Linked DNA regions of Nothobranchius furzeri. The protein of the gene in region 7 interacts with the protein of the main gene of each other region in a biochemical or structural test. Links are inferred from orthologs where the notes say so. Each region holds a gene or a part of one and is shown on either strand. Other genes may lie near its edges. The genes, in order: GRB2-associated-binding protein 1, wasb, bag3, fgfr2, itk, pdgfrb and plcg1.

The links.
Region 1: the proteins of plcg1 (region 7) and GRB2-associated-binding protein 1 form a complex in vitro, tested with the Homo sapiens proteins (2 studies listed by BioGRID and IntAct, with this or other methods). The link is inferred for Nothobranchius furzeri from reciprocal best matches to the Homo sapiens genes PLCG1 and GAB1.
Region 2: the proteins of plcg1 (region 7) and wasb form a complex in vitro, tested with the Homo sapiens proteins (2 studies listed by BioGRID). The link is inferred for Nothobranchius furzeri from reciprocal best matches to the Homo sapiens genes PLCG1 and WAS.
Region 3: the proteins of plcg1 (region 7) and bag3 form a complex in vitro, tested with the Homo sapiens proteins (2 studies listed by BioGRID). The link is inferred for Nothobranchius furzeri from reciprocal best matches to the Homo sapiens genes PLCG1 and BAG3.
Region 4: the proteins of plcg1 (region 7) and fgfr2 form a complex in vitro, tested with the Homo sapiens proteins (2 studies listed by BioGRID and IntAct). The link is inferred for Nothobranchius furzeri from reciprocal best matches to the Homo sapiens genes PLCG1 and FGFR2.
Region 5: the proteins of plcg1 (region 7) and itk form a complex in vitro, tested with the Homo sapiens proteins (2 studies listed by BioGRID, with this or other methods). The link is inferred for Nothobranchius furzeri from reciprocal best matches to the Homo sapiens genes PLCG1 and ITK.
Region 6: the proteins of plcg1 (region 7) and pdgfrb form a complex in vitro, tested with the Homo sapiens proteins (3 studies listed by BioGRID and IntAct, with this or other methods). The link is inferred for Nothobranchius furzeri from reciprocal best matches to the Homo sapiens genes PLCG1 and PDGFRB.

The regions. Positions count from the first base shown.
Region 1 is NC_091742.1:87,973,335-87,977,603, reverse strand, and holds the start of GRB2-associated-binding protein 1, read right to left. Parts: upstream 2,801-4,269; 5' UTR 2,440-2,800; coding exon 2,365-2,439; intron 2,334-2,364; exon of another isoform or gene 934-2,333; coding exon of another isoform or gene 913-933; intron 1-912. UniProt on the Homo sapiens protein: Adapter protein that plays a role in intracellular signaling cascades triggered by activated receptor-type kinases. Plays a role in FGFR1 signaling. Probably involved in signaling by the epidermal growth factor receptor (EGFR) and the insulin receptor (INSR).
Region 2 is NC_091755.1:42,288,305-42,292,319, forward strand, and holds the start of wasb (WASP actin nucleation promoting factor b), read right to left. Parts: upstream 2,801-4,015; 5' UTR 2,665-2,800; coding exon 2,563-2,664; intron 1,969-2,562; coding exon 1,828-1,968; intron 1,697-1,827; coding exon 1,610-1,696; intron 1,533-1,609; coding exon 1,436-1,532; intron 1-1,435. Other genes in the region: sodium-coupled neutral amino acid transporter 3, read right to left, coding at 3,893-3,997. UniProt on the Homo sapiens protein: Effector protein for Rho-type GTPases that regulates actin filament reorganization via its interaction with the Arp2/3 complex. Important for efficient actin polymerization. Possible regulator of lymphocyte and platelet function.
Region 3 is NC_091752.1:5,543,179-5,547,280, forward strand, and holds the start of bag3 (BAG family molecular chaperone regulator 3), read right to left. Parts: upstream 2,801-4,102; 5' UTR 2,773-2,800; coding exon 2,602-2,772; intron 1-2,601. Other genes in the region: tial1 (nucleolysin TIAR), read left to right, coding at 3,892-3,920. UniProt on the Homo sapiens protein: Co-chaperone and adapter protein that connects different classes of molecular chaperones including heat shock proteins 70 (HSP70s), e.g. HSPA1A/HSP70 or HSPA8/HSC70, and small heat shock proteins (sHSPs), e.g. HSPB8.
Region 4 is NC_091752.1:4,229,865-4,233,364, reverse strand, and holds part of fgfr2 (fibroblast growth factor receptor 2), read right to left. Parts: intron 3,210-3,500; coding exon 3,065-3,209; intron 1,384-3,064; coding exon 1,184-1,383; intron 1-1,183. UniProt on the Homo sapiens protein: Tyrosine-protein kinase that acts as a cell-surface receptor for fibroblast growth factors and plays an essential role in the regulation of cell proliferation, differentiation, migration and apoptosis, and in the regulation of embryonic development.
Region 5 is NC_091742.1:50,784,797-50,788,989, reverse strand, and holds the start of itk (tyrosine-protein kinase ITK/TSK), read left to right. Parts: upstream 1-1,393; 5' UTR 1,394-2,499; coding exon 2,500-2,637; intron 2,638-2,735; coding exon 2,736-2,840; intron 2,841-3,141; coding exon 3,142-3,223; intron 3,224-3,491; coding exon 3,492-3,617; intron 3,618-4,193. UniProt on the Homo sapiens protein: Tyrosine kinase that plays an essential role in regulation of the adaptive immune response. Regulates the development, function and differentiation of conventional T-cells and nonconventional NKT-cells.
Region 6 is NC_091741.1:96,096,251-96,099,750, forward strand, and holds part of pdgfrb (platelet-derived growth factor receptor beta), read right to left. Parts: intron 2,957-3,500; coding exon 2,776-2,956; intron 2,052-2,775; coding exon 1,936-2,051; intron 1,794-1,935; coding exon 1,670-1,793; intron 1,588-1,669; coding exon 1,376-1,587; intron 943-1,375; coding exon 848-942; intron 756-847; coding exon 623-755; intron 1-622. UniProt on the Homo sapiens protein: Tyrosine-protein kinase that acts as a cell-surface receptor for homodimeric PDGFB and PDGFD and for heterodimers formed by PDGFA and PDGFB, and plays an essential role in the regulation of embryonic development, cell proliferation, survival, differentiation, chemotaxis and migration.
Region 7 is NC_091755.1:60,800,503-60,803,518, reverse strand, and holds the end of plcg1 (1-phosphatidylinositol 4,5-bisphosphate phosphodiesterase gamma-1), read right to left. Parts: intron 2,579-3,016; coding exon 2,464-2,578; intron 1,701-2,463; coding exon 1,542-1,700; intron 1,453-1,541; coding exon 1,364-1,452; intron 1,125-1,363; coding exon 856-1,124; intron 774-855; coding exon 731-773; 3' UTR 501-730; downstream 1-500. UniProt on the Homo sapiens protein: Mediates the production of the second messenger molecules diacylglycerol (DAG) and inositol 1,4,5-trisphosphate (IP3). Plays an important role in the regulation of intracellular signaling cascades.

The DNA.
Region 1 (4,269 bases), on a different chromosome or scaffold from region 7:
AAAATTAGCCTGCTGGCTAACACTGGCACATTTACAGTAACGTATATTAATGTGCACGGTCCTTAAATAAATAAATGAAATGAAATAATCAGGGCTGCATGGTGGCGCAGTGGTTAGCACTGTTGCCTCGCAGCACGAAGGTTGCAGGTTCGAAACTCGGCTGTGGCCTTTCTGTGTGGAGTTGGGTGTTCTCCCCATGCATGCGTGGGTTTCCTCCGGGTACTCCGGTTTCCCCCACAGATCACAACATGCCCTATAGGTTATACATTGTAAGTCGCTTTGGATAAAAGCGTCGGCCAAATAAATAAACATAAACATAAGGCGTTACCCCCCCACCCCACAACCCCCCACCCTCCCTGAGATGTTAGGAATAACAAGGGTGATGTTTTAAGTAGATCCTGATTCTAATCAACAGGATCAAATATTAGCGTTCTCCGTGCTTTCTCCGCCTGTTTCCATGAACATGTCTGACTTTAATATTCATGCATAAAAAATAGTAATTTGGTTAAAAAATAAAAACACTGTTGAGACTGGAGAGGTTTGATGACAGATGAGTTTTGATCCGAGCAACATCAGCAAACCACATAAAACTTTATTTCTAACCACTAAACTGAACCAGAGAATAAAAAAAGTTTAAAAAGCGCTTTTTAAAAATTATTCTGTGAAGAAGTGTTCTATTTTTGATTTAATCATGTGAAGGCGACATATTAGTAATAATAGAGATAAGTTATTTTCCTGCAGCGATCTCCTCTGGTTTCCTGATGTTTGCTCCTTTGACCTTTGACCTCAGCCGGAAGCAGCTACAATAGAGTTAAAATATCTCTTCCCTTTTCCTGCCTCCAAACTAAAATTACCCCCAAAAGAAACATCTCCTTATTTAGATGAACCCTCTACATGTCGATTCTCTCTCACCAACTTTAGAGCCGAGTCCATGAAACCTCAGACGTGACGTCGCCATCAGACTCTCAGAGGGTGGCTGTGGCTCACTCATTTATCGATCCCGAAAGTCATGGAGAACTTTTAATGGTTCCATCACAGGATGAAGAATAAAACTCAACAATGTGAAATCAGACTTGTTTACATTTGAAAACAAGTTTCAGGTCAGCTTCCCTCCCGTCAGACTGTCATAAACGCATCTGTGACGCGTACACCCGCTGACGTCAGCGACGTCACGTTTACGCTCTCTCCGCGTTTCCAGATGCCCTAAAAGCTTCCAGGCAGGCCCAGCTGAGAGCGATTAGTTTATTACGCAACACACACTCTCTCACACCCGAACGCACTTTCTCCTACACACACACACACACACACACTGCTTTCGACAGAGCAGGGAGGTTAAGAGGAGGTAGGCTGCAGCAGGAACTTCATCCACATTCTTTACAGGAACACGTGGAGGCTGCTGCAGCCTTTAGGGCCGCTCGAGTCTGGTTTTATGGTGTTGACAATGGAAACATAGCTGTGTGTGTGTGTGTGTGTGCTAGATTGTACATGCGAGGACTAAATCTTTTTTATGATGTCTTCCTCTTTGGTTTCCCCTGCTGACCGCCTGTCCTGTCCAGTGGTTCCCTCCTAAAAACCTTTTCCTGCAAACATCTCTGAAACCAGCTGATTCGTTAGAAGCATGCTGGGATGTCCCATATCTGAGCTCGTTTTCTCTGAACTGAAGGTTTCAAACAGCAACGCTACTAAAAATAGATCCCTCTTGCTCTGATTTAGTCCTCCTTTACTTTCCGTACAAACAGAGAAAGGAAGGCATGTGACCAAAGGAGAGGAAGAGAGAGTACAACAAATGAAAGAGAAAGAGTGATGGAAGAGTAGACCGCAGACATTGTTCTGCTTCTCCCTGCAAACGGGAGGAAATATGGAGGAGAGATGAGATTAGGTCAAGTCACGGGGAAGGCATGTCAGAAATGTGGTGTGTGTGTGTGTGTGTGTGTGTGTGTGTGTGTGTCCGATCCAGCTCTCTGGCATCAGGTGTTGGAGATTTGAATTTAAAGATGCAGAATGAACTTTGTGTCGTTTCCACTAACCGTTGAGTTAACTGTTAAAGATTTACAGTAGGAAATGGAAACCTGGTGCTGTGGATCCAGATTTAACAGTTTGGTTTATTATCAGCAGACAAAAGTTAGATGAGAACGTTTCTGGGTCTCAGCTCAGCGGCTGCTCTCTGCTGGACGTGTTTATTGTTTTACAGTCATGGCTTTAGGAAATGACTCACGTCCACGGTGACAGCACACCGATGATGATTAAAGTTAAGAAAAAATACTCAGATGAGCATCCATCAACACCAGTCCAGTGCCGGTGGAGTGTGTTTAATCTAGTTAGAAATAAAGAAATAGATGAGTTTTTGAAACTGAGAGGACTCACGTATCTCCGTAGCTTCTTCTCTGGTGGGGATTTCCTCAGCCATCCTTCACACACCACATCTGCCGCTCCGCTCATCCTGATGTTTCTGGTTAGTCAGTCACCCTGTCAACAGCCGGTCGGGAGTCAGATCAGGTGAAGATCCCGTCTGAATCCACAGACTCAACCAGCAGAACCTCGCACCAGACTCCAGCCGGCAGGAGTTTGAATCAGAAGAACCCAAAACAACTCAGGACCTCAGATCAGCTCTGTCCTCACACACGTTTCCCTGGCTGAGAAGAATCCTGTTTGGGAGGAGCTCATCCACACACACACCAGAGCTGCTCCGCGTCTGCTGACTAACGCAGTCACACCTCCTCCTGAGAGACTTATTTCCCAACAGAATCACTCCTCCCTCCATAACCAAACACAATCCCTCAGCTCAGACATTCCTTCTCTCCTCTCCTCCCTCTCTTTGGCTCCTCCCCTTCCTGCTCACTCCCCCTATTCTGTTAGACAGGAAAAAAATCCCCCCCCCCCCCATGTGTGAGGAATGGTTTTCAAACAAAACTTTCAGTAACCGTCGCCAGTTTTCAGGTCTTCTGATGCAAAAAACTAAATCCCGAGTTATGAGAACGGACATTTTTCAATGTTTTTACTAAATTTTTCTGAGAACTGTCGAAACCCCCTTGATGATCGATTGTATGTTAAAATAAGTTTTCAATACAACAAATATCAGGCATCATTTTGTAATATTATACCAATATTTACCACAGCCACCACTCTGTGATAATTACTATTAAATGATTACATTTCATAAATAAACTATAATGTTTTTTTCTTCCACATCATTCATCAGCGTTCCCCTGAGCTTTACACTCACACACACTGAACCGTTTTTATTACCAAACTCATAACGTTCATGCACAAGCGCCTCTGCTGTTCTGCCCTTAAAACAGACGCAGGTTTAGTCGTGAATCTCTGGAGCTGCGCACTTACCATACCGACTGGTTTGTGGACTGCTGCTCCACATGGGAAGACAAAACAATAGAACTAATGACAAGGAGGCGAACGGGGGGTGACTCTGGGGGAATGCCCACCCTCTGGAGAACACCCTGCATTGCTCCAGTGCCCAAAAATAACCGGGCACGTGAGCCAAATGACTTCCAAGTAGAGGCGCTCGCATCACACCTAAGGGTGACCAGATCCCAACTTGGCACACGTGGGACAGAGACAACTCAAATATGGGACAACGTTAAGCTCCACTTTAATGAGAAAAAACAAACACACAAAACGTATATTCTGCCTTTTAGCCCTAACATCACTGTTACATATACATACAATGATTATTCTTATTATTAAATATTTCTTGTATATATTTCATTTGAATTCAACATGAAGAAGCATACAGCAAAAGCTTTACTATTTCACTGTTCCCCTCAAGTTACCACATTACTCAGTAGTGGCTCTGATCATTTTAATAACATAGATCGGCCCACAATAATAAAAAAATGCAGGTTTAAGCAGCTTTTCAGAGTTTTCATTGAATGTTTTCCACAACAGAATGACAGTAAAAGTACCCGTAATATTTTTTAGATCTTTTTATGTTTGTTTTAATTAATTTTCCACTAACATCAGCATCTCATTAAAAAAAATATCCATACTTTTTTGCCATTTTTTTCTTAATTCAGAAACAAAACGTTTTTTTAAACATGACAACAAATCTCTTCTAGATTTTAGGTGAGATAATAAACATCAAATTCTAATCTGTAAAAAGTCAGATCTAATCTGCAGGGAGTGCAGAATTATTAGGCAAGTTGTATTTTTGAGGAATAATTTTATTATTGAACAACAACCATGTTCTCAATGAACCCAAAAATCTCATTAATATCAAAGCTGAATGTTTTTGGAAGTAGTTTTTAGTTTGTT
Region 2 (4,015 bases), about 19 Mb from region 7:
AGGACGTTTTAGACCAAAAGTACGGCGACAGAACCCCAGCTTTGATGAGACTGGTGCTGACTCAGGTTTGTGAGTCTTATTAGAAAATATTTGTTGTGCTGCTGGTTTGCCTAAAGTTAGCTTATCAGGTAAAGTTGTTGGAGAAAGAAAGGTAATATTTACTATCATCTCACACTAAACACTAACAGGAACAATACTCTGCCCTGAAAATGCTTAATATGTAGCTTCAGATTAAAAATGATGTGGTACAAGACAAATATATATGATGTTGACTAGTGCGTGTCACTTGTGTGTGTGTGTGTGCGTGTGTGTGTGTGTGTGTGTGTGTGTGTGTGTGTGTGTGTGTGTGTGTGTGTGTGTGTGTGTGTGTGCGCGCGCGCGCGTGTGTTCGCGCGCGTGTGTGCGTGTGTTAAGCCCCGGATGTTCTTCAGTTCTTAATCCGCCCCTGCTGGACTGATTCTGCCATCACTCGTGGCATTTTCACATCTGGCCCAGCCCGGTTGGGTCCTGGCTGGGTTGGCCCATCCCACCATGGCCAGGTTTTGTTTGCACAGCCTTCTCAGGAACGTAGACGTCTCCGAGCATGTAGGCGGGGCAAAAGATGCATGGAGAAGTCCACGGTGTCCTTTTTTCAATTAGTAAACAAAGGTGGCTGAGAGTTGCGTTGCTTTGAGAGACTCTGACATGAAGCACACAGCTTCCTACTGTCTCACTGAGACCGCCACGCGCTCCTCACAGCTGTCTGGCTTTGTGCTCCCACGGCAGGTGTGAGCTGCAGTCGGAGGAGATGTTTACTCCACTGCATCCAGAATGATTATGAATCATGTATGCAGGAAGCCAGCACTGGCTGATTCTGCTTGCCAATCAAAGGCTTTCTCTGTAGGCAGACATGAACTTTGGCCACCCAGTCGGTCCGAAGTGGATGTGTTGTCAGTGCCAAGCTGTCCGCTGGAGATGAGATCTGGAAAAAATGGTCGGCTGAGCACAGAAAACACACAGATTACCCCGATGTGAACACAATTACCCTGCCAGGGATGGACCGGGCCGACCCAGATGTGAATACACCGTTTAGGACATAGAAGTAGGGAGGCAGCAGAGGAAGGCAAGGCTTTACAACAATGTTCCCCCCTGAAGATCCGCCCCCGTTGACTACTATTGATGTAGGGTGCTACAGCCGAGCCCATAACCCAAACCTGTTCTAAATATAAACATGGAAGCGTGTCCTTCTAAACGTCTGCTTAACCCTCTCAGGCTCAAAGTAAGTTATGATAAAAGGACGAACAACTAAGTCCTTCAGGGGTGCTCCTGAGTTAAAACATGCTCATGAAACACGTATGTGGAGAAACCAGGTCGGTAGGTTTTAACGTTGCTAATCTGCAACGCCTGCCTCCGGAGGGTTAAAGCTCTGTAGTGAGAGGAGCAGGAGCGTGCTGACCCATCCGGCTGTTCCGCTGGTTGATTTTCTCCACGACAGCATGCTGGAAGGCGTCTGCCTCCTGTTGGTCCGTGAAGTTCAGGCCCACCTGGCAGTCCTGTTAACTCACCCAAACACACACTCACAATTTCATACTGACACAGTTATTGCCTTGTGTGATTAGTGCGCGCTTACATCTGCAGGAAAGGTGTGAAAGTATTGCAGAGGCGTGAAGTAAGCCATCTGGTCGTACAGCTCCTGCTCCCAAACCCGTTTCCCTGCCTGTGGAAAAAAGTGCCTGGTCAGCGCGTCTGCCCCTCACTAACTCCCGTCACATCTGAGTCACAGCTTCTCCAACGGAGACGTCAGTCACAAAACCTAGAGAGGATGAGCTCATAGATTCTTTATTTGACCTTCAAATCGAACATCCGGATGAAGTAGGAGCGCTGAGGGTTGTCTTTGACGAAGCAGACCACTCCGGTGTGCTGCAGGCTCCATGTGGACGGGCTGTGTGGCAGAGCCATGAACAGCTGTGCTACAGCGGTGGCTGTGGACTAAACACACACACGCACACACACACACGCACACGCACGCACACACACACACACACACCCAGTTGACATGTAAATTTGCTCGTTGCTGGTGGATAACTTCCTCCTCTGCTCTCATTTTTGTGATAAGAGCTCAAAAGGCTCTCTGTCTTCTCCGGATTACACCTGACACACGTCTGATGTCTCACGGCTCTGCCAGCTTACTCCTACGGACGAATGAAGTCAAAAACTAAACTTCTGCTCTGCTGTCAGACCAAACCAGCCATGGCGTCTACATCTGACAGGAGAGGAAGAATCCAGCCAGCCAGCATTTCCTGTTACAGCTGCCTCCGTCATGGTGACCCAACAGCAAATAACTTAACATCACTCACAGCTGCTTACAGAAAGGATCTTTCAGTTCCCAACTCAAAAGGATGATGTTTTAGGAGACAGGCCTCAGCTAACGCCTGCCTCTTCAGCATGTGACGTTTTAGCGGCTCAAAGAGGAGGAAATCTAACATATAGGCAGGCAATCGGAATGCGTTAGTTTTGTTTAGCAGCAGAAGTGATGAATAATAAATTGAACGGTGGGTTATTTCCTCCCGGTTCAGAACTTACAGCACACCTTCTGCCCAGCAGCTCCTCCAACATGTCATTCTCCTGTTGGCTCAGCAAAGAGCTTCGATCGCTCTCTGTTTTACTCTTAGCTCCACGACTCATGACGCCTCTCACAAACCAACATGTAACGGCATCAAAAGTCTAAAACGAAGAGGACAGCGGTCGGAATATTCTCTACGATCCAGGAAGTTTCTCTTCTCTGTTCTGAGCGAGCATCAGCTCGAAGCAGGAAGCAGACAGCCACACTTCTCTAACCCCCACTTGTCTTCTCTCACTCTGACGTGAACGTGTCACTTCCATGTTCAGACAGAGGCAGGGCACTGCTGCTTCCCTCCAGCTCAGAGTTTACATGCATAAATAATCAGCATCAGATGTACAGGAAGTACAAAGAAGAGACTTTTTTTTATTGACAAACAACATTTAAATACATTTTTAAAACGCGCAGGCTCTGGAACAAAGGTGTTTGGTCCAGTCGTACAATAAAAACAATTAAAAGCAACTGAATTGTAAATGCAGGAAATGATGAAACAGTCTGGGTGTTGAATTTAACTGATCGAACAGCTGAATGTGACAGGAAAACAATGCATTCTCTCTCTTAACGTAACAGTTAAATACTCTTTGGTTTGTGGGTTGGAGACGAACAGAAAACAGTTTTTCACTTGTGTGAACCACCTTTCAGAGTCACACAACTATCAGTAACCCTCTGACTGACCGTCGACAACAGCAGCATAATCTCCTACATATTGCACCGGGTTGCATCGGTACCTAAATCATGACCTTGTACAGAGCCGCCTGTCAGTCGTCAGGAGACATAAAAACACATTAAATGAGTTTCATCACACAGAAAGTTGTCTTTAGGTGAAATAAAGTTCCTCCGTGGCGATGCCGACCATCAGCTCCTCGTTGTTACCCGAGCAACATCTTACCAGAATCTTGTACATAAAAAACTAACAGAATGAACAACCTATAATGAATGTTTGTTTAGTAAAAGTTAATGAACAAAAACTTATATGACGTATTATGGAAGTAAATGATAGTGGCTCCGTTTTTCCACCCGGCTCCTGAAACCGGACTTCTGCTTTGGTTCTCGTTTGTCCTCCTGCTTCACGGCCCCACCAGCATCCTTGCTCTGAGCGGTGCATTCAGTCAACGCACAGCACCCATCAGGAAAGCTCTTCCTTTGGGCGAGGCTCTTCACTGTTGTCCTTCGTCGTAAATCACCAAACCCCGGATGAGAACTCGGCTGACCGGTGGGGTTTGTTTGCAGGGTGAGTTTTGGTTGACGTGCTGTTTGGAGTTCCTCTGGTCAGTCTTGGCTTGTAGCTGCTAGCTAGTGTCCACCGCCGCTCCGAGACTTTCCCGTGACCCAGCCGATGATGATAAACGACAGGCTCAAGATCATGAAGATGAACCCTAATGCAGCAAAACACATAGCCTGCCAACAGAGAGCACG
Region 3 (4,102 bases), on a different chromosome or scaffold from region 7:
ACTTTCCCCTTTATATAACGTATAGGTGATTTCCAAGTGAGACTCTTAAAGAGATTGACTCGTTGTTCTTGAGCTTAAAGAGACAATGTGTAGTTTTTAATCATTCATTTCTGGAAATATCCATCAAAATGTCGTTAAATTAATGGAATGATGCCCAGTTGTTGAAAATGATTGACGGCTTTGTATAATAACCATAAAAATCAGGTCTAAAATACATGGGAGTGGGTCTAAGTCTCTGGGTGACTCCATATTAGATGTCAAGTTTCCTTCTAAGGGAGCCCGTGAGGACAAATTGCATTTACTGATTTGTAACAAACAGTTACAAAACTTTTGTCATTCTTAAATGTTGTTTTACACATTTACCTCTTCACTTGTTGCCACTGATTAAAGGGAGTCTGATGTGCTTGTCATTTTACTAAAGTTTGCACTCCCCAGGGCTTTTTGACCCTAATGAGCATCTGTCGCTTTCCGCAGCCGCTCGCTTCCGAACTCAATTTTTACTGGTACCCGCTCTACAACGGCTCCGCTCCGGTGCAGAGACCTGAGGTGCGCAAACAGGCATGCGCTGGATTTTCGAGATCTTGCGATACAGTCCGAGCAATAAATGCTCGTTGGAAGTTAGATCCAAACACCCGTTGTGTGGGGGAAGCATCGAAATGAACTGTTTAATCTGCCCATCATTTGTGTTGAGAGATCAGCAGTGTTTGGATCAACAAAGTGTGACTACTTTGATAGTAGAAACTGTATTTATGGCTTATGTTGTGCATTTAAAGTTCAACCGCCATTGATAGTTGTTAAAAGTTGTTAAACATGTGCATATGAAACAAAAAACGTTTTTTGTTTATCGATTTATTGTGAAATAACGGAAGTTGTGCTTGCTCCCTTTCCTGTTGGGCGATTGTGATTTCTGTCCTTTGACTGCGGAGGTGCTCCGGCGTCCGGCAAAAATAGAATCAATCCATTTTTGCCGGATGGCGGAACGGCTCACTGCGCCGCACGGCCGCAGTAGTGGAACAGCTCTGATTGACTACAACGGGACCGTTTTTGCTGCAGAGTTCGTGCCGGAGCGGAGATAGTGGAATTTTGGGGTTACTCAAACACAAAAATACTGCTTGCTTGCAACGATTTATGTATCTACTGCCCCCTATCGCCAGGAAAAATACACACCGTCTCTTTAATTGCAGTTGTTGCCTTCAAGAACAGTGGCGCCCCCAAGTGGTGGCCAGAGGGGGGCCTTGACCAATCCTGGAAAATTGCTGGCCACCTCAGAGCACTTCCACTCTCCAACCTCCTTTAATAAATCATATTTATGTTCAATATTTATGTTCACAAAACTATACATTAGTCTTCTTTAATAAAATGTAAAACCTTACAAATATAGAAATAAGTAAACAAATTAATATGTTGCTGCTGTGCACCATTTTCAAGAAGAAGTACAAATATCAATCTGTTTTGTAAAATGCATTCATTAAGACAGCGACAGATACATCCAGCTGTTCTAAACTACTAAAAAGTAAATGTTAAAGTATGAATAAATTAAATATTTGAAGTTTCTTATTTTCTCAAATATAACATTTCTGCTGCATATTTTTTAAGAATGGATGAGGATGCAGAGCACAGCTACAGGCTAAAAAACTCAAGAGTTACCAAGAGAACTAGTTTGATGTGCCACCCTTAAATTTTCCTTGGCCCCCCAATCTTGTCCCCCATGAAAATGTCCTGGTGCCGCCTCTGTCCAAGAGTGTTCAGAGTTATTGGTTAAGAGAACTTGAAGTCTTCATCTGAAAACTGCATTTTGTCTTTGCTGATCTGAAACATTTATGCGTGACAACAAAAAGAACAAAAGCAGAAGAAATCTGTAAAGGTGCAAATACTTTTTTTACATAAGCCTCAGAATGATCAAACACCAACACTGAAAGTGCCCCATGCAGCTGAGATAATAAAAAATAAATAAAATACAACTACAAGCAGGGCATTAATGTGTGAACTATTGATAATCCTCCAGCAAAAGTTGAGAAATAGCCGTGAACGACCCTTTGCCCTCTGCCTGGTCCAATGCACCAATTTTATCCCTCAACAGCTGTGTCTTTCTAGCAGATTCCTCAGGACACTAACTTTGGAAAACAGTGTCTGTCCCTATGAAGAAAGATTACCCAGCTGGCAGCCTGTGGAGCTCACGTCAGCCCACGGATTTGATTACAGACCTGTAGATTTCTACATTTCCACATCTAAACAACCAGATTCAATATCCTAAATGGAATGGGACCCAACTGCATTTTATTTTGTGGGTAAAAAAGTTTATAATGAGTTTTCCACCTAAATTAACGCTGGTATCAGAAAGCCTTGACACTCGGCAGTGAGTCATCGGGTAATAATAGTGTTAGATCATGACTCGGGAACATAACGGGGCTGATCACCCGTTTTATTAGGCTTATGAGCAGTCAGTGAGGGGGAGGCGACGGGACCTAACAAGGCCTACAGTCAACAAGATTAACACAAAACAGCCATGTAGCGTAGCGACTCCAGCAGCTTAACACAATCCGTAACCGACGCAGCACCCTACGGAAACCCGTTGAAACAACTTTATCCCGCCTCCGTTACCTTTTTGGTGTCGTGTCTCGGGTCATTCCAGGTTGTCGTCCGGTTGTTGTGATCCACGAAAAAGGGCCATCCAGTGTGAGGGTCGATTTTGACTTCCCATCCGAGGGGGAGCTGGTCGATGTCATTATCAGCCATCACAAGTGTCGGAGAGTGCGTCTTCACTGCGTTCATGGCGAGTACTGAGACATTTTTTATGGGCGGCGGTCCCTTTAAAGATTCCTGCGAGTGACGTAGGAAAGTGGGCTGGAAGTTTCTCGAAATAGCGGGGTTAATGTCGGGGGCGGCGGACCGCGCTGGAAGCAGCGGCATGGCGGCTACTTCTTGTGTCGCAGACACCCCCCAACAAAAGACACTACATTAATTTAGTTATAGTTGGTGTTTACAGAGAGCAGCTATTACCAGCTCTACTTTAATAACAACCCCAGAATCACGTAATAACCCTGAAACCTTCTCACTCACGCATGCGCAAATCTATTAGACCTGGGGTTTGAACAGCAGTTTTTCCCCTCAATCCAATTTGCTTAGAGATGCAACTGCTAAACCTGTTTATGCGTCTGCATCGGTGCGGAGACACAAAACGCCAGGAACTTGAAACAAATATGATTTATCGTTCTGATAAATATCTACGGAGGAGAATTAAGGCCACTGATAAAAAGTTATTTTCTCAGATTTCTTAGATTGTAAGAATTATGAGAAAGGGTAGAATATTGGCTCCTTTCTGAGATTAAAATTAGAAATATGTATGTCATCTAGTCTGTTATAAAATGTGTGTCATTTTTGTGAGGAAAAGAACCCCATCTTGTTTCTATTATCAAGTTTAAAAATTCGGAAAACCTTGTGAAAAATGAGTACCGATGCTTGTTTTGTTCGAGTCCAAATCGTGAAAACCTCGAAATACAAAACGAGCGTACCCATGTAATGGACTTCAAAATAAAAGCCTTTTACGTAAATTGCGTTGCTTTCGAAAAGCAAGAGGGAAATAAGTCATTATATTCTCTGAATCAACTGTTTTATTCAATTAATTTCTATTTACACACGGTGAATTCAACTTACAGAATAAAATTAAGCCATTTATAGCTTCGAACTAAAGGTTGACCCAGACCCTTTGGGTTGACCTTTCGGTGCTCATGCGCAGGCGCAGTTAGCACACTCAGCGTGACGTAAGAAACGTTGCCCGGTTAGCTTTCTAAGCTAGTTAGCTCGTTGTTTACAGCGTTTATCTCTCAGTCTACGTCCTTTAATTACCAAATAGTTTATATTTTTTCTACGACGTCACGTTCAGTGTTGGTCATGGACGACGAAAGTTACCCCAGAACCCTGTAAGTATTTTTAGTGTTTTCGTGGTAGCTAGCTTTCGTTTGGTTTCTCATACGCAGCGGCTAACTGAGCTACATGTCCAAAAAACAAGTGTAGACAACGTTCAATATTAAGTGTTAATTTACGTTTTTAATTAGTAGGCGTTCAAAAACACGTATATTTCGACGATTAAAAAAAACGTTAG
Region 4 (3,500 bases), on a different chromosome or scaffold from region 7:
AATGAATCCGCTCCATGGGGCCAATTTTAAAGCAACAAACTGCTTCATTTTTCTACATTTTAGAAAATAATTCATATATTTTTATCATATCTGAAAATATAAAATTAAATCTAATTAATTTGAGTTAAATCTGAAACATCTCAAAGTTCAAAGGAACTTTGAGATGTTTGTGAGGGCACCTCTGCACCCTGCTGTTACCTTGGGAGGTTACTTATGGTTTAAATCAGTCCAAACGTGTAAATCACATTAATATTTAGTTTAAAAGTGACACATCTATATTTAGATCTCATGTTTGAATTAAACTTTATGTGTTTAAACTTGTTCCAGGCATTTTTTATTAACATATTTAGATATATGCCTAATTATTTAACACACATTTTGGGATTTGTGTTTAAATATTTATACATAAATTTGAAGTTTCTTAAATCAAAAGGATGAAAAGGTGACCAAGAGCTAAATATGACAAAACACAGCTTTAAAGCAGCGGTAAAAGCCACATGTGCATCTGCAGCAATGTGCTTATTCTACTTTTTGTTTATATTTAAAGTTTTATTTTATATAAAAAACACATTTTAAACTATTCCAGTAATGCAGATGAATTGCATCAATGAGAAAATGAAGTAAATGTTTAACTTAAAATGCATTAAATATATTTTTTATGATTTTTAAATGTATTTGGTGTGAACTACAGCTACATACTTTAAAGAGCAAGTCACCCACGACCAGATTCTTACTCAACTCCCACTTCCTGTTTGAAAAATGCAACAAATGCTGTGGCCTAGCAGACCGAGAGGGCGGAGTCACTAACAAATACACACACTCACGACATTGTGACATCATAATCTACCATCTAACATCATAGTTTACCTCTTAGCCAATAGCGATGGCAGATTTAAATTCAAGTACAGTGCAGAATTTTTCCCTGACGACGGTACATCGCAGACAGTTTTAGGCAGAATGTTTAAATTTGAACTAAAATGCCGAATTATTGAATACATTTGTCTACAGCACGATCAGACACTCATTTATATAGTTTATCAGCAAAAACATGTTGATTTGGAGTGACTTGCTCTTTAAATGAAGTAAAAACTAAAGTCACTGTGTGTGTGTGTGTGTGTGTGTGTGTGTGTGTGTGTTTTCCTCTGGAGGTGTTAGATGCCTTTAGAACTCTTTATCTACTTTCTGTTACCTGGCGGCGCAGAGGAATCTGTTTGGTGAGTTTGTGGACCGTCGGTTGCCCCCCAAAGTCGGGCTTCTTTGTGGTGTTTCTCATGCGACACACCACCACGATGGCCACCATGCAGGTGATGAGGAAGACGCCGGCGCAGTAAATGGCAATTTCCACATAATCTGGAGAAATGGGCTCTATGGATTTGTCAGGCGCTAGAAAAAACGACAGAAGGGTTAGTGATCAGAGAAAAAGAAAGGAGACGGTCGCACATGTGCTTCATTTGAACCGAGGCACAAGAATAAGGCAAACACAGAGACACGTGCTTTGGAGATGACTCGTGTGCAAACGTAATCACTGTCGGAAGAATAACAAACAGAAGCGTTTTCTTTATTTGCCAAAGTTATCAGCATGCATGACAGATCTGAAATCATGACTCCGCTACAACAACCAGGCTGGTACGCAGCTGAATAAATGAGGATCGCTGTAAACATGGACGTAATTTTGGGGGGGGACAGGGGGGACATGTCCCCCTCACTTTTTCCAAAGTCAAGTTTTGATCCCTGCACTTTTTACCATCCAAAAACAATATTACGCTATATTAAATTGACACTGGTTGAGCTCAAGGACCAAGTGGAAAACAACCGTTTGTGTTGAAGCCTGTTTCCCATTAGAGCATACTGTAAAGGTACCACCCCCCCCTCCATGTCCCCCCCACTTCTAAAGTGAAAATTACGTCCATGGCTGTAAAGACACTGACAGTGACTCGACGCTACCTGCTGGGTTCCTAATATGGGAAACTTTTTTCTGATTGGCCTAATGAACTGAAATGTTTACTGTGTGAGGTGCCTTGAGACGGCGCTTGTCGTGATTTGGCGCTTTATAAATAAACTTGAATTAATAAAGAGACGCGTGAGCTCACAAACACCCTCAAAGACATCTGAGCATTTTAAAGCTTTCCAGTGTCTACTGTGGTTTTATATGGACTGAACTTCCTGTCAGCGAAATGGGCCGAGCTTGGATGAGTGCATGCTGCAGAAAAACCGTTCCATAAATGCAGAGCCATCCAGACGACAAACAATTCAGAGCCAAGCCATGAGCCGTCGGGCAGCTGCACGTAGGAGACTGTGTTTTTATAATTGTGTTTTAAAACCACAACACATGGACAGATCTGCCTCAAAAGCACCACCAGTACAAAAAGAGCACTTTATGGGCAGAACATATTCAATAAAACTCCTACCAGAAATGGCCGAATACCAGTTTGGTCTGTTGAGTGAGGACTGTCAACTAATCTCTTAAATGCTCGCTGGACTCATGACTTTTGTCTATTTGACCCTTTGGTATTTCCTGTCCCGATATAAGGCGACAGACTGAACCAATGGATGAATGTCACATTCACAAGCATGAGTCGTCGTGTCGAAGCGGAGAGGTTTGGCTCTGATAATTGAGAAAGTTAAGCCAACATGAAGCGAGTGTTGAGCTACATCTTTCTAAATTTACATGAAAATGAAGAAGATCCTAAAAGGAGCCAATTATCAGAGCCAGGAAATGGGAAAGGAGACAACTGGAGGCACGAGTTTACAAACAATCTGAGCCAAAGTTTGGCACTGATAAAAGTATCCCAAAGCAGTCGGAAGGATGGGAATAAAGAGAAGGCAATTCCTCTGCTGCTGTTGGAATCCGGAGTTGCAATCCGACGAGTTGACAACAAAATACACAAACATCTTTTCGGAGTTTTCAACAGTTCGCCAAGTCACTGCATAATCAACCAATACTTGAGTCGTGCAAACTGGATTCCAAGGGGAGGATTTGCCTTGCATGAAGGTCATTCAACATGCAACTACTTGAGACAAAAACAAGAAAGAGAACAAAGGGGCACCATACGAGTTCTTATACCTGGAAGCACCGTCAAAGTAGCAGTGTGATAGGAGATCCCAATAGAATTACCCGCCAAGCATGTATACTCCCCAGCATCCTCAAATGTTACATTGGGCAAGTAGAGAACTTCTATCTCCTTATCTGTGGTGTTAACTCCTGCGGTCTGGAAGAGGAGGAGAAAAAGGAGGAAGAAGAGAGGTGCAAACGTAAAAGAAGAAGGTGAAGTCAGAAGATGAGAGCAGAGAATAGAAAGAAAATAAATTAGACCCACAACACCAGAAAAGGTTTCTAAGGAGCTGGATAGTGTCCATTCTTGTGGTCCCATCTAGAGGAATGATGCTGGGAGTGACGAGGGGGAGAAGACAAAGCCCAAAACACCGTAACATAAGGAAAACATAAACAATACAGCAAAAGCAAACAATACCCATCACCATTGGAACCTGCTTACAGAAAC
Region 5 (4,193 bases), on a different chromosome or scaffold from region 7:
TGAACTTTTTTTTAGCTGATAACCTGTACAGATGAGTGTCTAATAGTGCTGTAGACATGTGCAATTATCAGTGTGGCAGTTTAGTGCAACTTATTCTAAATTTAATATTTCAGCCCAAAACCATAGTTATATCTCCATCTTCAGATTAAAACTCGGCTCCACATTCATGTAGAACCAGCTGTGGCTGATGGCTAAGCTGAAAAACATGACATTATCAGCTGATTACTACTACTACACAATACATTACAGCTACCTAATGAGCACAATAACTTATTAGGTAACAGCATATCGTGTAGAGCTCTGCATCAAAAGATATACACTATTACACATAACAGATTGTAGTAAAAGCCTGAATGCCCCTCATTTGTACAAATAAATACTGTTAAATGTAAACTGCAGTAACAAATAAAATGTTTTTATTAAGAATTTATTATTGTTTGATTTACTTTTTGAGAGTTTCGATAAAAGATTCTCAAAATCCTTGTACATAAAATATATTTAAAAATTCGACAAACGTCATTCTCCCAATAACTGCAGGATTCTATCATTAGGCTGGAGGGGCAAATTCAATAATCAGCATACACTTCCAGTAAAGTGTTAGTCTAAAATCTAAACTAATGTGTTGCAGCACCAGTCCAGCACAAAACATTCAAAGCAAAACTAGATTCTGATGGGTTTTTAAGTTGCACCTACTGCTGTTGTTGGTAGGAAAAGTAGATATGAACTTAAAATGACACGTAAATTATAGTATACACACTACTGCTCATTTTGGCGTAAAACATTTGCAATCTAGTTTGAAGTAAAATTAGGCTTTATTAGCCATAGTTAATAATTATAGGTTTAATATCTGGCTGAAACGTTGTTCTTAGGTATTTAAGTAGTCAAATTCAACTCCTAGCACGCACCTAACCATTGAACCTTTGTCTTCTGTGTTACCTTTATTTTGTTACGGACTCAATGTGTTATTGACAAACACTACAAGCAGAACTACGTTAGCGTCACCGCTGCATTTTGTACAGAAACCTAGCTAACTATAGCCACCGCTAATCCCGGTAGTTAATTGGGCACGTCAAAAATGAAGCGAACTACATAAAAGGTAAATGAGAAGGGAGTAAATGTATTCATACCCACCTTAAGAACAATCCTTTAGAAACACAACATATACTTCTAATAATAACGTTAATCAAATATCGTTGGAAAATTAGATCAGGGCTAACATAGCTTCTTCGATAAATGCAGAAAAGACCAGTCGTTTCTGTTTGATTTCTATTGGCTGAACTGTCCTCGTGATTGTTTTCCTAACGCTGATTGGGGTGCGGTCACAGAAAGAGCTCAACGCTGATTGGTAGAAATATCCGGAAGCACGGAAAAATTTGTTTTTCTTTTACTTTGTTCTTCAGAGGATCGATGGAAAAAGTACCGTTTGATGCCCAAACTGAACTGATTTTATACATGAAAAAGAAAAGTTACTAAAATATTCAGATAACTGTTGAATATTTTTGAATGAAAATACTAATTTTAAAGACATAAAAACAATAACCTGTATATTAATTCCTTCGGGTTCTCATTTTACAAACTATGTCAGTTATTGTTTGTTCTTTATGTTTATTTAGCAGACGCTTTTATCCAAAGCGACTTACAATTTATGACCTATAGGGCATGTTGTGATCTGTTTGTCCTCTTTCAGAATCTGCAGAAATCTATGAATTTTATCCTAAAATAATAATAATAAAAAAAGATGATTGTGATTTCTTATGTATGTGAAACACCTGCCACAAACAGAACGGTGTAAAAGGGTTGATATCGATATTAAAAAGAAATTGGGTTGATAATGACAAACTGAATTCTATTATTCTCTTGTGAAAAGATAGTGAGCAGCATTTTAATTCCTAATGTTCCGAACCGGTTTGCTCACGTTTATTTATTTACTCCTTGTCACCTAGATGAGTTTTGTAAATTTTTATGTGGCTTAAGTAGTTTTTACTCTTTACTTTAATCAAGAATTTAATGGACTGCATTCACTGTAAACAGTCTAAACTTCTCTGAAAAATAACAATATTTTGACGTGTAACCCCTAAATGCAAAGACACATTTAGAGAAAGAGAGATATTTCTTTATCTTAACTTTTTTCAGTGATGTTTTGTGTTTTGTTACTCATTTTATCTTCCCAATTGTTTAAAAAAGTACTACCAAAACCTGGATTTCTGCATTCACAGTCCTGCTTTGGGCTTAACTTGTTAATTCTCTATAACATTAGTGAAAGTACATGTGCAGGGTAGACATCTACAGTGTTTGTGCATCAAACAGTGTGTATTTCTGCTTGCGCAAATCATTTGTTGCCACAAGGATGTGGTTTACTGCCTGCCGCAGCTTCACGCCGGAAGCTCCACAGCATCTACGAAGTTTATCATCCACAACTTTGCCTTTTCTTCTTCTGACTCTGCGAGGCTCTGCTTGTGACAAAACCATTCGCAGACGCTCGCTGCGTTCTTCTTGACAATGTTCCCCAGGGTGATTTTGAGGGGAACCATGATCAAAAAATCCCAGCAAAAGAAAAGAACATCACCAAATAACTACAAAGAGAGGTTTTTTGTGTTGGACACTCAGGATCTGAAGTATTCGGAGTGCCGTCCGGGGGTAAGTCCACACGATTTTGTATTGAAATGTGGTTTTCTTAAAGTCACATTTTCTATGGCGTTGAATCTATGTGACACAGAGCGTGTTAATGTGTGCAGAAAAAGCCCATGTTGAAAGGTTGCATTCAACTGTCCAGGATTAGGTGTGTGGAGATTGTGTGCAGTGACATTCCCATACCTTGCAGCTACAAGTACCCGTTTCAGGTGAACATCATTATTATCCTTTAGGGTCACAAGGTCATTTCATTGTCATAAGAAGAAGAACATGGCATTTCTTCTGAGTAAAGGGTGAATAAAAAACAAAATAAATTCGAGTGTTGACTTTATTATATGAAGCACCTTTATTAATGCAACCGATGGATATTCCGAAGTTCTGTGCATAAAAGCAAAACATCAGAAGCAGAAAAGCACACCCAAATTCAATGAAAGGATGCACAAAAGCTGTGAAATGAACCAAAGGAAACAGGTCACTCTGTATTTTAACAGAAGTCTGATGTCCCTGCAGGTTTTCCATGACAACCATTACCTCTACATATTTGCTCCGGACAATGATTGTCGTCAGAGATGGGTCAGAGCACTGAAAGAGGGTAATTCTTATGTGAATGCACCATCAGATTACCACCAACCCATGTCACGAATCTGTTAATATTTGAAGAGTCCATCTGCAAAAGCAGACGAGAGCCACCAGCGATCAAAATCACCAAACGTTAGTTTCACTGATATCGCTTCAAGTAAAAGATGCATTCTACGAACATTTGTGAAAATCGGTTCATCTGGGGGGTTTTTGCAAGTAAACTCTTCATTACTTCGTCTCAACCAAATGCATAAAACAGATGTTTGATTTCTTCAACCTAGAGACGAAGCACAATGAGTTGGTTCCAAAATTTCACCCAAACTTCTGGATGGATGGAAAGTGGCGATGCTGCCAACAGCACGAGAAGCTGGCAGCGGGTTGTCAGTTATACGACCCAGCGAGCTGTGGTTAGTATTTGTTGTCTTTCTTCTAATTGTCAAACGTGTGTTTTCACCAAAGATGGACCAAATATATATATATATATATATATATATATATATATATATATATATATGTGAATAGCATGGCTTTGCAGATAGCAACATAAAGTAACACACTGCACCAAAGTTCAATGACCTGATCAAGTCACGCACACACAAATAGCAAAAAATTGAAAATAGCGGCACGAGACAAAATTTTGCAATTATTTTCACATATAGTTGCAAATGAGGACAAAGCGCCTTGTTTTTGTTGGTTTCTTCTGCTAAAAGGGGCGTGGCACCTGTCCTGGTGGTTCTGTTGTGTTTCTGTTCATTATAAGAAATTCCTGTGATGCTGTTGGGGCTAGTAAATTTAAATTTTACAAGATCAGAATCAAATCTGAACATCTGTTCATGTTTTCTTCAGCTAGTTGCTTTTTTTTCGGATAAAATTGCACGTGATAATCTGTCTTGTTGAGTATTTCTTTCGACTACATCTCCATCTACCAATATCTTACCACAGAGTTCCATATAACTTCTAAGAAAATTCTGCTGGTGCTTCAA
Region 6 (3,500 bases), on a different chromosome or scaffold from region 7:
TGGTAGAGCACACTGCGGTATAATAATAATAATAATAATAATAATAATAATAATAATAATAATAATAATAATAATAATAATAATAATAATAATAATAATAATAATTGTAAGGTCATTTTGTATTGAATAATAAAAAAAATAAAAAAGGCAGCTTCTAAGAAGAGATTATTTCTGCTGATCATGGGTCATAAATATCCTGTAACTGCCATAGCTATGATCAGATTAGTCAGCATCAATAGGCCTTTTCTTTAAATAAACCACAGCTGTAACAAGTGTGGAAGCTGGGTAAAAGCAACAAGAATTCAGAGGATGGTCATTTTCCTTCCACTTTATAAAAATGAAGAGTTCATTTGCAAAAACAGATCCTGTTTTTATAACATTTTCAAAGATCGTATCTTTCTATTATCATTTAAAACAAAGTTATTTTTAATTAAAAATGGCGTGAATCAGTTTTTCACATGTAGGAAATAAAGTTTAAGCATTATTTTTGGTTAAAATGTAAAAAAAAAACAACTAAACATTTTCTTTAACTTTGTGCCTTTGTGATTTGTTTATTTTCTGTTTTCTTAACATTAAAATAAACACAAACAGGTCTTTCCAACTCCTGGTACATCACACTCACCCAGGACCAGGTTGTCTCTGGGCATCTCCCAGGCCAGGTCGTAGGGCAGGTGGATGGGATCCACGTAGATGTACTCATGTCCGTCCACACTCACGGACTCAATCACCTTCCATCGGATCTCATAGCGTGGTTTCTGTTAGCACGGGTGAAGAGGACAACAAGGAGCCATGAGGAAGAAGGAATAATTTTGATCTGTTTGTTTTTATGTGATGAGGAGTGTCTTACCTTCCTCCACACGGCGACGAGGATGATGATGGACAAGATAATGATTACCACTAAGGCTAAAACAGCAGCCAACACTGCCACCTGGGAGAACAAGGCTGCCACAGACACCAGAGACAGAAAAGATCACTACATTTGAAAAACTTTATGTTTGTGCATCAGTCAGCTCTGCATCCGTCTGTCTGTGGTTTACGGAGAATTAACCAATTAAGGGGGTCAAAAACTATTAACCAAATGTAAACACAAGATTACACATTTTCTTTAAAACGTAGCTGATCTGATATCTGTGGTACAAACATGATAGCCTTTATATATATTGTACATAGACAGATTTTACTGACAAAAACGTATCTGAAGATGGAAAGTTTTAGCCCAACATCAAAGAGTCAATTAAAAATGCCACCAGGGGCTGAATATTCAGCTTAGAAACACATGTATAAACGTATTATAAAAATGCATTTCCTAATCTTCAGGTGTTCCTTATCTAAGTGTAAATGACACATAAAAGGTCTGACATCTTGTGGCACTTACTGCTGGACACCAGTTTGACATCCCTCCTGCTGACCAGTCCGGCTCGGTTGGTGGTCTCACAGCGAACGGTGAAGTGCTGAGGCTTGAGGAAGACCATCTTGCTGCGCACCTGGATGATTTTATGAGTCTCATTGTAGCTGGCGTTGGTCTGGATGCTCAGCTCCTCCGGTCGCGGGGTCAGCGGCTGCCACACAGCAGACTGGTTGTTGCACCTGAAGCGGGACACCGGGTGAGATGGGAACAGCTGCAGCAGCAGTGGAGCCCTCTTGTGTTCTCAGGGGGTGTGTGACTCACTTCAGCATGCTGTCACAGCTGTACCACTGTATGATGGGAGCTGGAAACCCCTCTGCTACACAGGTCACTAAGTGTCCCTGCCCTGGGAGGTGGTGGTCTGTCAGGTCTTTAATCTGAGCTGGAACTGCAAACATGGAGGCGGAGGCTTTAATCATGACTGAGTTTGCCTTCAAACGCTACTTTAAAAACATGTTTGTGGAGAAAAAAAACAACAAAAATGTGTCAAATATTTAAACATTCTAGAGTTTGTGAGAACTTTTTCACACCTTGGACCTCCAAGTCAAAGACAACCTGCTTCGTGTCGTCTCCGTTGGTAACGAGGACAGCGTAGAGGCCTTTCTGCTCCGCCCTCACCCTCACCAAGGTGAGAATGGTGAGATACCTGAGGCAAAAGCCAAATGAACAAGCTGTCAGGAAAATAAAAACAATCATCGATCTTTCAGGAGTTTCTTGGGTTTGATTAGATTAACTTCTGTCTGGAGCTAAATGTCCACAGGTTCAACGTTTTGTTAGAACCTCCATCAGAGAGGCTCTCAGGGACTACGGAAAAACGTCTCTTATGGGAATGTTTAGATAAAAATTTGAAATATGGTATGTTGTTTTCCAATCATTTCTAACATGAATGATTAACCTACATGAATAATTTGTAAAAATTAGAAAAAATAAAAGAAAAAATAAAAGAAAAAAGAAAGAAGAAAAACACCATTAATAGGACAAACACGTCTCAATAATCAAACATGATCTTCTGACGATTTCAGCCAAAAGCAGAACTGTTGGACAGGAACTTTTCTGATTTACTGATTGATTCGAGGCTTTTCAACAATGAACTTTTAAAATCCCATTTAATTCGATCGTTTTGGTTGAAAAGGCAAGAGCCCAGGCTTTGTTGAGCGTTTGAGGGTCATTAGGGAGTTGTGATAGGTATTTAGTGTTTATGGTTCCTGTGCGCTGAAAGATGGCTTCCTTCCCTCTGGAGAGGATTGGATTTCTCTCTGTGGAGGTCTCATCTGGTGGTGACGGACAGATCGCCTCTGGAGGCTCCTGGACTGTCCAAAGTTTTTGATAATTCTTTAAATATAAGGAGGCATTTAGATGAGCTGTTCCACCTTATTTCATGCTCTTGTCTGGAGAGGATGGCTGTGTCTCCCTTGATGGCGGTGCCGTCTTTGGTCCAGAGAATCTGAGGAGGAGGGTAGGCCTCGATGTCCACCCTCAGCTCCACGTTCTCCTGGAGCTTGGCTGAGATCCTCTGATGCTGCATGGGCTTCATGTCCACAAAACCGTGTTCTGAGAAGAAAACAAGCCTTTGTAAAGCATTTTCTATTTAATCTTTTAAGTATTTCTTGCATGTCTGTTTTTCTATTCTAGTCAGAAACATGCAAACAGTGCACGTCTGCAGGAATGAACCACTGCTCACGTGTAGTGCATCTGTGTTTAAATTAAAACATTTAGCAAACTGGGAATGTGCTTTAGTGAGGGCATTTCTTCTGTTTCAGCTCTGAAATATGTTCCATAGTCACAAAATCATCTACATTTGCTGGTTTTATATAAATGTTTTATGAAACTTTTGTTATTTGCAGTATGTTTTCTTTCTTATTTCATCCAGTAACTGTAATTCTAAACCTGCCAGTGAGCTTAAAGTTGGCATAACAACACGACAACCTACAAATAGTTAATTTTAATGTATTTTAAATAAAATTAGAAAAAGATGTTGATTTATTTATCTGAGTGATATCTTAGCTGACATCAGCAACAATCAGATAATCAGAATATTTATATTGAGTTGCAGGATAAGCTTTCCTTTAGAGTTGTGGTATTTTTTGTGCATGCA
Region 7 (3,016 bases):
AACACGACACCACCTGCTCTCTGGCTGCTCTGACACAGACAGGTCGTGACATTTTCCTGATGCCCAACAAAAACAAAAAAAAAAGTAGATTTAAGGTGTGACAAACTGGAGGCACGTGAAGCAGAGATGTTTAAAAAATCATGGGGAGCCCTCATGTTTTACACAAAGTCACATCATGAATGCTTTAAGTTTTAAATAATTAGAACATTTAGAAACACAGAGAGAGGAGCTCTTTGAGAGCTCATCAGCTGCTGCTGCCGCTCTCTGGACAGCAGCACGAATAAATATATATATATATATTCAGACACGGCGATGGAAAGAGAAAAAGAAAAAGTGACGAATCTAAACTTGAAACAGTTTCTAACAGACCTTTTGGAGCTCTCTCCCCATAGCCTCCTTAATAAGCAGCTGTTATACACAACAAGAGCTCCGTCGACACCGTCCAGGCCCAGAGCCTTTTGTTTTCCTGTCCACACCGTTTCTTCTTCCTGTCTACAGCCATTAGCTTCCTCTCTGTCCCCCACCCCTCCTGTATCCAAGACCCTCAGTCTCATCAGAGTAGGGGAGGGAGGGGTGGGAGGAAAAGAGCTGCCTCGAATGTAGGCCAAAGCAGTGGTGTGCGTTTCCATGGAAACAGTGATCACAGCAGTCAGTGACATCATCAGTACGTGGAGAGGCTGCTGGGTGAGGGAAGGATTGGGTGGGGGGGCGAGTCCTGATTGGCTTGGACTTAGACGCGGTTCTCTACGCCCACTTTGGTCCTCCGCAAGTTCCTAAAGAGAGGACAAAGACAAGAGGACGCCGTGAATGTTGTACACCCCCATAACTGGACAAGCGTAAAGTCTCCACACTCACCGTCTGTTCTGTGGGTCCATGTGGTCCAACAGAGACTCTTGGCTCACCCTGAAGTCATCTATGGAGGCCTGGTAGCGGGTGTCCAAAGGGCCATCCATCACTCTGTAGGCTGAGGCCTGGGGGGGTGACTGAGGCAGAGGGGACATGGTGGAGGGAGAGGAGGACACAGAGCTCAGCTCCCCAAAACGATCTCGTCCTACTTGGGCTGAGGCTGGTACTGCTGTGGGACTGGCAGCAAACAGCGGGCTCAGGAGTTCACCATTTTCACCCTGAACAGGAAACCCAACGTGATTAATGAGGCTGACCGCTTTAACTCCTTTGTTTCTAACGCCTGAAAACTTCTCACATGTTCTAAACTAGTGTCATCCTTCAGAAACGCTTTCTGGGTTGATGATGAAATGTGACCATGCTCAAAAAGACTGGATGGGTTTGTGTGTGTGCGTTTAAAGTGCTAATAACTGCACGTCAGTGGAAGAGCAGCTCCGCTCAGTCTGGAGTCGTAACCCACCCTGGTTTTGCTAATGTCCACATGGACCAACAGAGAAGCCAGCTCCAGATCCTCGCTGTAGCTGTTCTTCAGCGGTACGGAGCGGTACCCTGGCAAAACACAGACAGGTTCAAACTCATTAAAGAAAGCATTTATTTTTCCAGAAACAAGCAAACGTATGAGTTGCTTTAACACGTACCTGTCCTGAGGCCTTGAATGGGGAACGAGGCCTGAGCCAGGAAGTTTTGGTCACTGAACATGTCGATCTCATAGACCACAAAACGCAGGAACGCAAAGGCGGAGTTTAATAAACTGAATTCAAACTTTGTCTGCCATGTAGGGTTCAGTCCATTATCAGCTAGAGAACAAACAACAAAAAGTCACATTCTGTTTGAACATTACACCCAAAAACAAACCGTGAATCTGTAATGACCCACTTCATCTGGGCTTGCTGCGGTTTGTGCCAGACACTACAAAAGATACATCTGACTAAGTTACATCAGTCAGCTGTAAAATGAAGACAGACGTGGATTTTCTCACTACAGTCACACCTGGCAGGAGGTTTCTGGGGAAAATGTGATGATTTGTGAAATATTCTGCCCGTCAATGTTATTAACATTCTAGTATTCCTATGAAACCAAGTTGCACGTGGCAGCAAACACTGCGACGACCTCTCAAGAAAACAGGAAAAACAAAAACCCTGGAGAGAAACGAAGCTGAAGATCAAAGAGCATCAGAGAAGAAAGGCTGGCTATTTACTGGAGACAGTCGAGTTAATCGGCAACACCATGAACAGGAGCAGAAGCTTCGTCATTTCTGGAGAGCAAAGATGATCGTCAGCGAGCTTGATGCCAAAACAAAATCTACCATGAACTAAAATAAACAAAAGAGCCACAAGGTTTTGTTTCCAGCTAAAACCTGATGAGCTACAATTACATCATTGAGAAATGTTTTGCCTCGTTTTCCCAGACTTCCTAATTGTTTGTGCAACTTCCTGTTTTCCAGCAGCGGCTAGGAAGTGACACAGGCGTAATGAATTCAGTAAACAAAAATATTTGTACAGTTTTAAAGTGGAATGCTTTTTAGGAGCACAGAAGAGTTCAAATTCAAGTTGGTCTTACCTTCTGAGTTAGTTTTTACTTTGGTACTGTCATAATCTGTCCCACAAATTTCTATCTCAACGAGAGGACTAACGATGCCTCGGCCGTGCTTCGGCAGGTGACGTGCACCCAGGACCTTCAGGAGAAAACAGAGGAATAAACAATAACACATGAAAATTAAGCTCCTTAGTAAATATGTAGTTACTGGTTTTGGCGCACTGACACGCTGACCACAACCCAGTTTAGACTGGGTCTAAATCACAATTATTGTTTAGGAAATAACCCATCAGACCAACACATTTAGCTGTTGTAGCCTGTGAATTTCTGCAGAACTGACATTAATTTTATGCATTTTCCCCACACTTTTGCTGCAGTCATGGAGGTTTTACATCACTGCAATGCGATTAAATATTTGCATTGTCCCGAGCCGACCTACGTGTCCAAGACTCAAACCTAAATGGTGCACTAGGAGATGTTTTGGTGCTCCCTTTCAGCTCTTTGCTCAGATGATGAATAATGTTTTTATATTGCGAGAAGTAACTGTAAAAGGGTTCAATTTCTAGATTTTGTTTGA